Caenorhabditis elegans: one gene and its partner. The protein of the gene in region 2 purifies or fractionates together with the protein of the main gene of each other region. This does not show direct contact. Each region holds a gene or a part of one and is shown on either strand. Other genes may lie near its edges. The genes, in order: pfk-1.1 and rpb-7.

Region 1 (7,678 bases), on a different chromosome or scaffold from region 2:
TTCAAGGCCAGTCTGGCGGATTCCAAGGGCAAAATGGAGGATTCCAAGGTCAAGGTCAATTCCAGGGAGACCAATCCGGGTTCGGACAACAAGGAGGATCACAGACCGGGTTCCAAGCATCACCTCCAGTTCCAGCTATGCCGCAACCTGGAGCAGGTAGTTCAAATGTCGGACCAGACTACTCACCTGTAGGGCAAACTGCGCCAGTTGCTTCTCCAGGAGCCGGTGGATTGTTTGGTGGTGGATCAGCTAGTACTGGCTTCGATGATCCAGCTTTTGCAGCTGATGCTAAGCCTGAAAAATCAACGACCGATACTATCACAGAGACGTCGGTTACTGGATCAAGAAAATGAAGATTTAAGTGTTTCTCACTGTGATATATGGACTTTGTACATACTTTTTAGAAATAAAATATATTTCTGTGTATTAAAGATTCTTGTCTTGATTTTGTAACAAATACAAATATCATTTAGATTAATTAATAGTCTATACTTATAGTGCCAAAAAGATCAAATATTATAGTGAAATTAATCAAAATGTTGTTCACAATATTGCTGATTTCTTTTTCAGATCCCCTAAAATTTTCAACAGAAGTTTGACTGGAGATATAGCGGTGGACATCTCACGGGTCTACTTTTAGATGATTTTTTTTTAAACCTCTGTAGCTTTGGAACAAAAAAAACTTTTCATAGGAACAGTTCTAATGATAAAATACTTTGAATAAACATATTTTTAAAATAACTACATATTTTAAAACACTTCATTTATTTGCATCATGGCATATTTTCAACTACTAAGAAATAGGGGCTAAGACTTCAATCAACTTGTGCAAAGAATGGCGAGAAAAAAAATTGTGAGAACCTATGGAAGCTTAGTAAAAAGAGACAATTTAGACGAGCAAAGATTTAATATAGACCATGAGAACATTTACAATACCGAGTAAGTGTAACACACAAAAAAAAGTATTATGACAGACAGAAAAAAGTAGTCGCTATGGAGACATCAAAACTTTTCAGAACATGTGTGAGTCGGCGCTTTCTTCTTCAACAGATTCCAAAATTGCAGAACTTTCAACGGTCGAACGATGACGAGCGAGAACACGGAGAAGTGGACGCAGAGCCATCCACCTGAAATTTTTAAATTGAAATTTATCGCAGAATGTGTCCAGGAGCGTTCATTGTCATTAGAGCGCGCTTACTAACAACTAACAAATTCTCGAATACGCGGGAATCAGCTTCCACAGGAAATCAGTTTTTGAAAACATATTTTTTGGGTTCTACGGAAATTATTGTCAAATTTTTAATTTACATTATTGCTGACTATGAGGAACATTAAGCGAATGGCAAACATGTAAAATTGGGCTCTTACGGCCGAGAACGAAAGTTTTTTTTTTAAACAGTCATCACAGAAATTATAAACAATTCATATCCGGCGGTGATTAACTTCATGATTTTTGAAATTACACAGTTATAAAGATCTACGTGATTTTTTCAAATTTTAAATGTTGAGAACTAATCAAATCAATAAGTAATCAAGGGATTTCATGAATATGCATCTTCTCTACAAAATGATCAACCAAATACCGGCCTAAAATCGAAAAACTGACTGTTATGATACAGTTTCCAAAATTTCCTAAATTTACACACTTTCGATTTGTATATCGAAAATGTTTAACAAATCATAACAATAATATAAATCGGAAAAAAAATCTTCTAAAGGAGCCAAAAACTAGCCAAAGAAACTGATTTTTGATAGAAACAAATTACCGCGCGAGTTTGTAAGATGTCAGAAAGTGCGCTCTAACGCTAGAGGAAATCGTGCTCCACGAGTATTGCATATAGCCCTTAAACTTATGGTTTAGATATTTAACAAGAATACAGACATGCTGTATTCCATTATGTTATTTTTAGTCTAGAGATTGAATAGTTTTTTCTACAAACTACTTGTCCACTAACCATTGCTCTGATGGAAGACGATGCTCAAAATCGGTCTCCTTCTTGAGATCTTGCACCGGCGTGAACACCACCTTTCGTCCTTTGAGTCCAAGAAGCGTCGCAGTATGGGCTGACTTGGCGATCACCTTGTTATCGGCCGTCAAATTTTCCTTGAGCTGAATGAGCAAAAACTCCAAAGCACGAGCGGCCAGCTTGGTTCCCATATTTCTGTCGAACGGCGTTGGAGATCCACCCTGTTGAACATGTCCGAGAACATTGACTCTTGTGGTGAAGTTCTTCTTTCCTTCAGAATCAAAAAGATTCTGCACAAAATCTGTGGTGAGGTTCTTGTCGGCCCACTCATTTCTGACAACCAAGTAGCGTTTCGCTCCAACTTCCATCTTTGAGAGAATCACATCAACATCATCGGAGAGGTCTTGAACGGTGAATGGCTCTTCAAAAATGTACGCATTATCCGCACCGGAGCTCAACGCAGAAAGAGTGGCAAGGTAACCACAGTATCCTCCCATTGTTTCGACAATGAAAACTCTTCTCTTGGTACCAGTGGCAGATTGCTTGATTTTGTCGATCATCTGGCAAATCTCATTGATCGCGGTATCGGATCCGAGAGACACCATAGTTCCTAAAATTAGAAATGTATTGTTTAAAAACCTTATATAATGAAAAACAAACCTGGAACATTGTTCGAGATGGTGCATGGGATGACACACATTGGAATGCAAAACTCGGGATACTTTTCGCGATTTTCAGCAAGAATTATTGTGCTGTGATACGCTTCAAATCCTCCAACAAGCAATAACGCTTGAATATTGTGCTTCTTCAGTTGAGCAGCAAGTTGAGGCATAGTTTTCTCAGTTGGAAGACTTTTCTGTGTGCCAAGGAACGATCCTCCGTTCATTGCCCAGTTAGTAACATCGGACCACTTGAACTGTTTGAATGACCCATTGGCAAGTCCCTCAAAACTGTCTTCAATACCGTACACGGTACACTGATGGTAGAGAGCCATTCGAACATAAGAGCGGACGGCTGCATTCATTCCACCGGCTGGAGCGCCAACGTTGATTACAGCAACATTGAATTTGTGTCCTTCCGAAAGATTGTCCTTTTCGACGGTTCTCATCTTAGTCAGCAACTTGTACGTTTCAAGATTTCTCTGGAAACTGCGTCCACGAAGCATCACAGCCGTGGTCCAGTCCTTATCCGCCATTGCCTTCTGTACCATTTGAGTTCGTTCGACACACTTGAGAAGTGGCACACGGACCATAACATTTCCGTCAATTGAGATAACACAAGGTTCTGATTCCTGAAATAAAAAAAAATTATACTTCTTTTCTTTCAAGCAGGAATAACGGTTTGAACGGTGAAAGTGTAGACCCAAAATGTGCTCAAATAAACGAAAAAATTTGTAAATTTCGTTATGAAGCTTTGCAAAAAATGTTCAAACTTTTTTCTTTGACTGTACAAAATGTTAGAAAAAATAGTCTAAAATCTCTAATTCTGAGCTTTTTTCGGTGTCGAAGCTGCCTGAAATTGATTTTTTGAGCGCATTATTATCTTTTATTGCATTTACTAATTTTTGACATTTTTTGGTCACCTACCGGTTTTAAATATACCTTGACTAGGGCTTCCATGTGGCGCCGGTAAGGCGTCAGCGCCGGCTTCACGCCGCAAATCGCGCCACAGGTATAGTACGGCGCGGAACCCCCAAAGTGTCGACCGCTGCCATCTTTGCGAACTACGTTGCGCACACGTCAAATTTCTCTTTTCACGCCAAGCTGCGAAACAGCGGCAGACGGTGAAGGAGGTCCGGCGGGAGGCCCGTGGAGGCGCCAACGCCGCGCCTCTCTCACAAGGAAGCCCTAACCTTAACTATCAAAATAATATGAGATGAAGGAACAAAATTTACGACAAAGTTCGATAATCCAAAAAAGCCAACTTCGGGCCGCTGCGGCACTGAAAAAAACTACAATTAAGATTTTTGTTAATTTGAAAACATATTGGTTCATACGTTCAAACCATTAATGAAAAATTCACAGAAAATCCCAGAAACCTCAGTCATCTCCATGAGAGCAAAAACTGCTTCTGCTCCCATTCTACATCCAAGAAGTCGATCAAAAGCAGATGGAGCACCTCCGCGTTGAACATGTCCAAGAATTGTAACGCGTGTATCGTATTTCAGCTTCTCCTTGACAGCAGTCTTCACATCCTCGGCGGTGATAGCCTTTCCATCACGATCAATAGCTCCCTCGGCGACAATAATGATGTTAAGACGTTGACCCTCTGATCTCATTTGAGAAAGTTTGTCGCACAAGACGTCACGCCAATTTTCCGGTGCCGGCCATTCAGGAATGAAGCAGAAGTCGGCTTCGGAAGCTAGAGCAGCAACTAGAGCCAGATATCCACAATGGCGACCCATGACCTAGAGTAAAATAAGTATATGAATTATTTTCTTGATAAATTGAGATCACCTCAATAACAAAAGCCCTTTGATGACTTTGTGCAGTTGCGACTACAGCATCAATAGAACTGATAATTCTTTGAAGTGCCGAGTCGGTTCCAATCGTCATGTCGGTTCCACAAAAATCGTTGTCGATGGATCCGACAAGTCCGACAATTTGAATGTAAGGAATCTTTTTCGCAGCCGCCGCAGTGACTCGTTGATTTTTCACAAGTTCTTGCACAAGATCGGTCCACTCCAAACGGAAAGTGTTGGCTCCAGTGAGAGATCCATCTCCACCAATGCATACAAGACGACCAATTCCACGATTAATCAGGTTGGTGGCTGCCTGGAAATTTAATTTTAACTTTCAAAACTTTCAAAAATTTGTTTTATTGGGCTAATTATTTTCTCACCTTGAGACGCCCTTCACGAGTTCTGAATTCGGAAGATCTTGCGGAACCAATGATAGTTCCTCCTTGCTGAATAATATCGGAAACGGTGTTCCACGTGGCTTCCTTGATGAAATCTCCACCTTCAATCATTCCTTCGTATCCTTCGTAGATCAAATACACTTTACATCCACAGTATATAGCCATTCTTGTGATACTTCGAACAGCGCTGTTCATACCTGGAAAATAAAGTTTCAAACGTATTCTTACAAGGAAAAGTTTGAATTTTATTAAAAGTGAAATGAATTTTATATGGAGACTCCACACAAAATTTTCATGGCAGGTCAAAATTTCAAATTTTGCCCTAATTCATTCGTACCTTGAGAGTCTCCTCCGGACGTGTAAATCGCGAGAGTACGTCCCTTGAAAATATCCGACGCAATCTCAGTTCCTTCTCTTCCAGCAGTTGGGACGATTGAGTCGAAGCGGCGCAAAGCTCGCTGACGGATAAAGTCGAGCTCTTCTGGCGTGATTGTTGATGCGTCCGCGTCCATTTCGAATTATGCAAAATTCTGTAATTTATGACAATAGTATTTAACACGAAGGATGAGAAAAATGGGATGAGAAGAATGAAAAAATTTTGAGAAGAAAAGGATAAATCTGAGAACTGCAAGAGAAAAATGTTGACAAGCAAAAACTGATTAATCGATGCGGACAATGAATGCGCGTAATACAGTGTGGCAGGGACCATTGTGGTTAGAAAGTGCGCGACGCAGATACAACAAGGAAAACACAGAAACAAACAACTGCGCGCGGTCATATTACCCTGTGGAAGGTCAACTTTTAATTATTATTTTTATAGGAGGAGCATTGAGTGGTTCTGGACATTTTAAATTCAATGAATTTTGTAATGAAACTTCCAAATTTTTTTCAAAATTTTTTATGTCGGTTTGAAATTTTAAAAATTTAAAAATTCAAAAAAAAACCTATTTCAGCTAAAATCTCTAATTTTGTCCATTTTTTCGTGTTGCATCGGTCCGAAGAAATTAACTTTTTTTCAAATTATTATATTTAATGGCATAGCTTGACTTCATTTCGTTAATTAGGATACATCGTATTTTTTCTAATGTAGTATACATTGCACTCCATTACTCAACTTTGACAGCTTAAATCTCAGTTGGCGTTTGTTTTATTGAAAACTGATCAACTGAAAAAACACTTATTTTTATTTTTTTCTATATATTTGCAGTTGACAGTTTATTGATATTTTTTAAACGAACATAGATATATCCTTTTGGAGTAAAGTAATTGGATGATATACTATTAGAGGAAATACGTAATTTACAGCTGATAGGTAACCTAAAATAAAAAAAAATAGGTCACCTATCGGCTTTAACTGTACTATAATCAAAAAAAAAACAAGAGATGAACGACCAAATATGCAACAGAGGATTGAAAAATCAAAAAAAAAGTATTGCCAAAATTGAAGATTTTAACTAAAATTAGGCCATGTTTTTTCGAAATTTTGAACCGCCATAAAAGTTTATTGAATTAGTTTAATCCATTTGAGTAGATATTAAGTTTAAACGTTCAAAATAATACCGAAACTTCAACAAACAAACGTTTTATTTAGTTCCTTTGGTATAAGAAAACAATGAATGATGCCAAGTGAGAAGTGATAGTGATTGAAATGGAGAGAGAAAAGATGCAGAGTAAATAATGAGTGTGACGAACGCATGGGAAAAAAGAAAAGTAGAAAAAAGCCAAAAATAAAAGGTTTCGACTTTGAAATATGCTATGGCAAGTACACATGATGCAATACACGAAAGAAGCCCCTAGAGGGGGGATGCACTTTTGATCTTGACGCAGGGGACCCAGACAACTGAATGTATTTATACAACAGAAACAAAACATGAAAACCAAAATTGTGAATTACATTTTCCTATCAAATCGACTGGATTGAATGAATGATTGGTGTGTTTTCTTCTTCTTCACTTTTTCAGCCTTCAGCAAGGGAAAAAAACTAAGCAGCCAGAAGCAAAGTGCGAGAGAATATGCGTAACACGGAGAAAGAGATCGAGAGAAGACAACGCAAAAAAAACGAAAGCGCGGCCCTTCTGCCTTGCCCCTCGTTTCTCCAACTGCTCAATGTTTTCGACGTGCCAAAACGCATTTTGGATTGAGAAGGAAGAAAACGTAAGGGCCGGGGAGAGAGCACAAAGATTTGATTTCTTATCCGTCATGTCATTTGTGTCTAGTTATCAAAAATAAATCAATTTAAAACATGAATAGAGCTAGTGGAAAAATTTAAAAAAAAAACACGCCTACGGTACCACAATGGACAAATATCATAAAAGAAAGTTTCAAAAAAATTTTCTAATTTTTTTTCCAATTTTCAAAAAATCAAAAAATCAATTGAAACTTTAAAAAATTACCATAACATTTGGTCACTGTAGCGTGTGTTAAAGAAATTTCCTCACTGACTCTACTCCTTAAAATTTGAAAAAAGAGACTACGCAGGGAACTAATACAATGTTGATTGTTAATGCGAGTAAACAGTAAGTTGAAAAAGTAAACACTGCCCTCAGGTTTTTGGGATTCATAACCAACAGTGCGAAACGGCCAAGTGGCAAGTTGTTGTTCAAAACTTTTCAATTGATATTGGAAAACACTCACAAAAACATTTACAAACTTTGTTTTTGGATGTTTGTTCAGAATTCCCGGCCCAAAAATATAGCCTTAAAAACGCTAATGCTAACTTAATATGGACAAAAATGGTCACATAAAATTTGCAAAAAGATTAATTTTTTTTTTGGCCAGGTACACAAGTACTGTTCTTGATACATAGACAAAATATCGCAAAATAAGCTCACATAAAAAATAATTATGATAAC
Region 2 (4,703 bases):
AAAAAAATTTTTACGAATTAAAAACTCCTGCGCGGTCCTGAAAAGAAAAACATATTTTCCATGAAAAATATTAAATTTGTCTTAAAAACTAAATTTTCTCTGGATTTTTCGATGATTTCCTATAAAAATACACCCTTTTTCCACTGAAAATCCCTTTTTTTCGCTCGAAAATAATTTTTTTGCAAAATTCAGTACCTGACGAATATTCATCTGGCGGATCTCGCTGAACATCGCAACATCGGGAAGGAACTTCATCTGAAATGGGATTATGCGAGTTTTAAGTCCAATTAAAGAATATAAATGAGGAGAATATAAAAAAAAAGATATTAAAAATGGTAAAAAACCAAGTTTTAAGTTCCAAAAAGCAAGTAAAACCAATAAAATGAGATCCTTTAAGGTTTAAACGTAACAGATGGATTTTAAAAAAAGTAAAAATTAAAATATTGTGAAATAACGTGGTGATAGATAAATTATGATACAGCGAATCGTTGAAAACCAGATCATTCCGCTTGGCACAGTCCGAGAAAATCGTCCATCAAGGTTCCGATGGCAAAAATGTCGTTAGCATCGACACGTGTTCCGATGAGCTTCACACGGATCTCATCATCATTCCGAATCACATTCGCCTCATCATTGGTCTTGTAGCACGGTTTCTCACTGTTCGGATCGAATTCCATGTCTGGTGGAATACAATGACGACTGATGAAGCATGAAAGTGGTCCGATATCACAGAAAATGCCGACTTTATTGACCTGTGTGACGACTCCATCGACGACTTGTCCTTTGAACGGGCGGAACACGATGGCCTTGTAACGGACCGGGTAGATGACGAATCCACGGCCAGGCTGGATCAGGCCGTGGCCGATCGTGTCGATTGTGGTGACTGCGATGACGAATCCGTACTTTCCTGTGCACGTTCCCTCGACTTCGTTGAACAGCTTCATTTTGATGGTTTCGTTCAGGTTTGGACCGAAATATTTCGGATGGAGGCAGACTTCATGGTCGAGTGACAAGTGGAAGAACATCTGAAAGTTCTTAAATTTGTATTTAAAAGAGGAAATCGTAACGGTTCTGGGTTTTTTAGTGATTTTTTTTGGTTTAAAACTCAAATTTCTATCGATTTTTGCATGTAAACTCTGTGTTTCAAGCATAAAAATCGTTTTTTAAAATTTAATTTTTACTATTAAAACAGGAGTAATTTTTAACGTTGAAGATCCAAAATGTGCTCAAATGGACGAATTTCGTAATGAAATTTCTCAAAATTCCGAAAAACCCGGCTAAGTTCACTTGTTCAGTAAGCCCGTTCAGAATATACCCAGATTTAAACCAAATTAAAACCGTACAAGCCTATATTGTGAATTTATCTGCACAAATTTGGTTTGGATCTACACAAACCTACACAAATTCAGTTTACATCTACTCAAACTTGCAATCTATGCAAATTATGTTTGAATCTAGACAATCTTGGTTTACATCTGCCCAAAATTAGAATTTTTCATAATATAGGCTTGTACGGTTTAAATCTGGGTATATTCTGAACGGGTTTACTGAGTGGAATAGCGAAATTTGGCCACTTTTCCGCGTCGCGGCGATGGAAAGTTCACTTTTTTTTAAATTATCATCCTTTATTGCTTAAAAACGTGAGATAATCGATCAAATTATGCAAAAAGAGATGAAAATTCCAAAAAAGTCCACTTCCAATCGCTGCGACATGGAAAGTAGCCAGAATTGGAGATTTTACCCGACATAAAAAATGTTCGAGCACTCTTTAAGAATTTTTATTGCAAAATTCGCTTATTTGAGCATATTTCGGTCTTATACATTCAAAATACCTAGAATCTTTACTCCTAAAAGTTAAAAACCCCCTTAGAGAAATTTTATGCACGAATTCTGGATTTTACACACAAAAAATCGATTTCTGATCAAGTATTTATTGCGTAAAACAAGAAAATTGAGTTTTAAAACCAAAAAAAAACAATTAAAAACGAAAAAATCCACCAAAATCTATTCGAAAAATAAATAAATTTCGTACACGAAGCGTAAGCGCACCAGTTGCGTGCCAACGAGACGAAGAATGCGCCAGCAGGCGTCCTTGGCGCATATCTCGTTTTTCTTTTATTTTGCCAACTCCGCTCGGTTTTTCCTCTTTAAAATCGAATATTTCACATATGTACACACTTTCGGCGGGTATCTGGGAGAAATTCTTCAAGAAAAAAGACTATTATGTGGTGATAGTCGGTCTGGATAATGCTGGAAAAACTGTAAGTCTCTTGAATTTGAGATCTCACCGATTAATATCAGAAATTATCGATTTCAGACGTTTCTGGAGCAAACAAAATCTCACTTTGTAAAGGACTACGGGGTTCTGAATCCATCAAAAATCACGGCGACAGTTGGTTTGAATAGTAAGCCTCTAAAATGAATTAAAAATCAAAAAATTTTTTTTTTCAATTTTCAGCTGGAAATGTCGAGCTCAACAACACATGTCTTCATTTCTGGGATCTCGGAGGCCAGGAGAGTTTACGAGAACTCTGGGCGACATATTACGACGATGCAAATGCCATGATTTTTGTTGTGGACGCAACAAGGAGCGATCTCTTCCCAATAGTAGCATCTCAGTTTAGTAAGTAGTTTGAAATTGAAATAAATCAAATTTATACCAGAAATAATAATAATAATACGAATATTTCAGAAGAAGTAATGGCCAACGAAATAGTTCAAAATATTCCAGTTTTAGTAGCGGTGAATAAAAGTGAAATGGAAGGAGCCGCCGCTGCCGCTGAGGTCAGATTTTTCTCAAAAATCGAAAAAAAAAACCGAAATTCCTGCATTAAAATCATATTTTCCAGGTCCGAATGCTGCTCGAAGACGACAATCACCGCTCGGACCTTGCAGTTCTTCCGGTTTCGGCGCTAGAAGGAACAAATATCGAAAGATGTGTTCACTGGATCGTCCGATCGTTGGCTAGCCAGCCATTATACCTTTAACCTCTCGGGTAGCTGTATATAATAATTATAATCTATTGCATACTGACATGAATAGAAGAATCCTGTGATGATTTCCTAACCTCACTGCAACTTTTTTGAATGAGGGACGAGGAAATACGGTTTCTAGGCCACGGCCGGGGATCCGACAAGATTTAGCGGCAATTTATTTTGCTTTGTTTTCCGCGTTTTTTCTTTGGTTTTTCACCGATTTTTCTCCCGTTTTTTTCTTATTAACACTGATGAATAAATATTTTTTGCAGATGCTAGAACAATTTCCAACTGAAAAATTGTGTAGCGATGGATTACGGGAATACTAAACCTAAACTTTTTCCGAATCATGAAATATATGCTGCTTAGAGGCTGAAACTACCTGATTTTCATAACGAGACCGCTGAAAAAGTTTTGAGATTTTTAAAATTCAACTTTTTTGGTGAAAAAGTCGATATTTTCGCACAAAATGTTGAATTTTAAAAATCTCAAAACTTTTTTTCAGCGGTCTCGTTATGAAAATCAAGTAGTTTCAGCATCTAAGCAGTATATATATCATGTTTCGGAAAAAGTTTAGGTTTGGTATGCCTGTAATCCATCATATTACATTGATCATTTTCACCGCTTCTTGCCGATTGTTCTAGCATCTGCGAAAAAATATTTATCCATCAGTTTTAATAGGAAAAACGGGAAAAAAAACTGTGAAAAACAAAAAAAAAAACAAGCGGAAAACAAAGCAAGATAAATTGCCGCTAAATCTTGTCGGATCCTCGGCCATGGCCTAGAAACCGCATTTCCTCGTCCCTCGTTTAAGAAAAGTTGCAGTGAACCCCTTCCCCTCTACCATGTTTTAATACGGTTTCGGCTGATCTGACTTATTACACAAAAAAATGATATTAGTATTTAAGTATTAAATATTTTTGTTTATATCGTGCAATAAAAATTCTTTTTTTAATTGATTATTTACAAAATTTCAGAAAACGAAAGCTTGTGAGTTATGAGATTAAATAGGAATTGGCACCGCGTGGATGGTTAAAGAGATCGGGAAAAATAAAACGCTACTCCAGAAATAATTCGAGTTCGAGAATTGAAAAATATTTTAAAAATTTGAAAAAGTGGAAGAAAAATCAATAAATCGATAATAACTGTTGAAATTAAAAGATCGATTCGTGAAAAGAGGCAGAGCGTAATTTTGCAATCCTGCGGCACGGTTTTGCTGATTTTTTCTATAAAATTTCGATTTGAATTCTCTTTTTTTTTTAATAAAAAGACTATCCAATTTAGTTTTTATTTAAAAAAAAAGAGAATAAAACGGGCGTCAAAATAGGTGGAAAAACCGTGCCGCAAGGTTGCGAAATTACGCTCCGCCTTTTTTTCTGTGCACGGCTATCGATCGTTGACTTCCAACAGTACACCAAGAATTATCTAAACTGGAGTAAGTGTATGAATTGGATCTAAAAGAGAACTATCGATAATTTGTGTGGGATCAGCGGCGAGAGAAGTCGCCGAATTTCGGCGTTGTTGAGGAGTTATTGCCCATCGGAAGCGTTCGTAAAGTGTGCCGGTACCGCTGAGCAGGTAGATTATTGCGAAGACAGGAATTGCGAGGACTGAGAGAAGTCTCAGGAACCAACCTGGAAATATTGGATTTAAAACTAATTGCTTTGAATTCTCATGCAAAACTTATATTTTTCACGTGGTGCCAGGCTGTCCCATCACGGTTTGATC

What was found.
Region 1: the proteins of rpb-7 (region 2) and pfk-1.1 fractionate together in Caenorhabditis elegans (co-fractionation; one large-scale study listed by BioGRID). This does not show direct contact.

What each region holds. Positions count from the first base shown.
Region 1 is NC_003284.9:2,938,550-2,946,227, reverse strand, and holds pfk-1.1 (ATP-dependent 6-phosphofructokinase 1), read right to left. Parts: upstream 5,357-7,678; 5' UTR 5,339-5,356; coding exon 5,164-5,338; intron 5,024-5,163; coding exon 4,809-5,023; intron 4,742-4,808; coding exon 4,424-4,741; intron 4,375-4,423; coding exon 4,006-4,374; intron 3,259-4,005; coding exon 2,628-3,258; intron 2,578-2,627; coding exon 1,956-2,577; exon of another isoform or gene 1,128-1,955; coding exon 1,013-1,127; 3' UTR 750-1,012; downstream 1-749. Other genes in the region: Y41G9A.10 (Prion-like-(Q/N-rich)-domain-bearing protein), read left to right, coding at 1-353. UniProt on the Caenorhabditis elegans protein: Catalyzes the phosphorylation of D-fructose 6-phosphate to fructose 1,6-bisphosphate by ATP, the first committing step of glycolysis.
Region 2 is NC_003279.8:3,030,838-3,035,540, forward strand, and holds rpb-7 (DNA-directed RNA polymerase II subunit RPB7), read right to left. Parts: upstream 2,102-4,703; coding exon 2,033-2,101; intron 1,026-2,032; coding exon 501-1,025; downstream 1-500. Other genes in the region: sec-11 (Signal peptidase complex catalytic subunit SEC11), read right to left, coding at 196-255; Y54E10BR.2 (ADP-ribosylation factor-related protein 1), read left to right, coding at 2,169-2,261, 2,318-2,405, 2,459-2,623, 2,693-2,784, 2,850-2,987; mod-5 (Transporter), read right to left, coding at 4,401-4,609.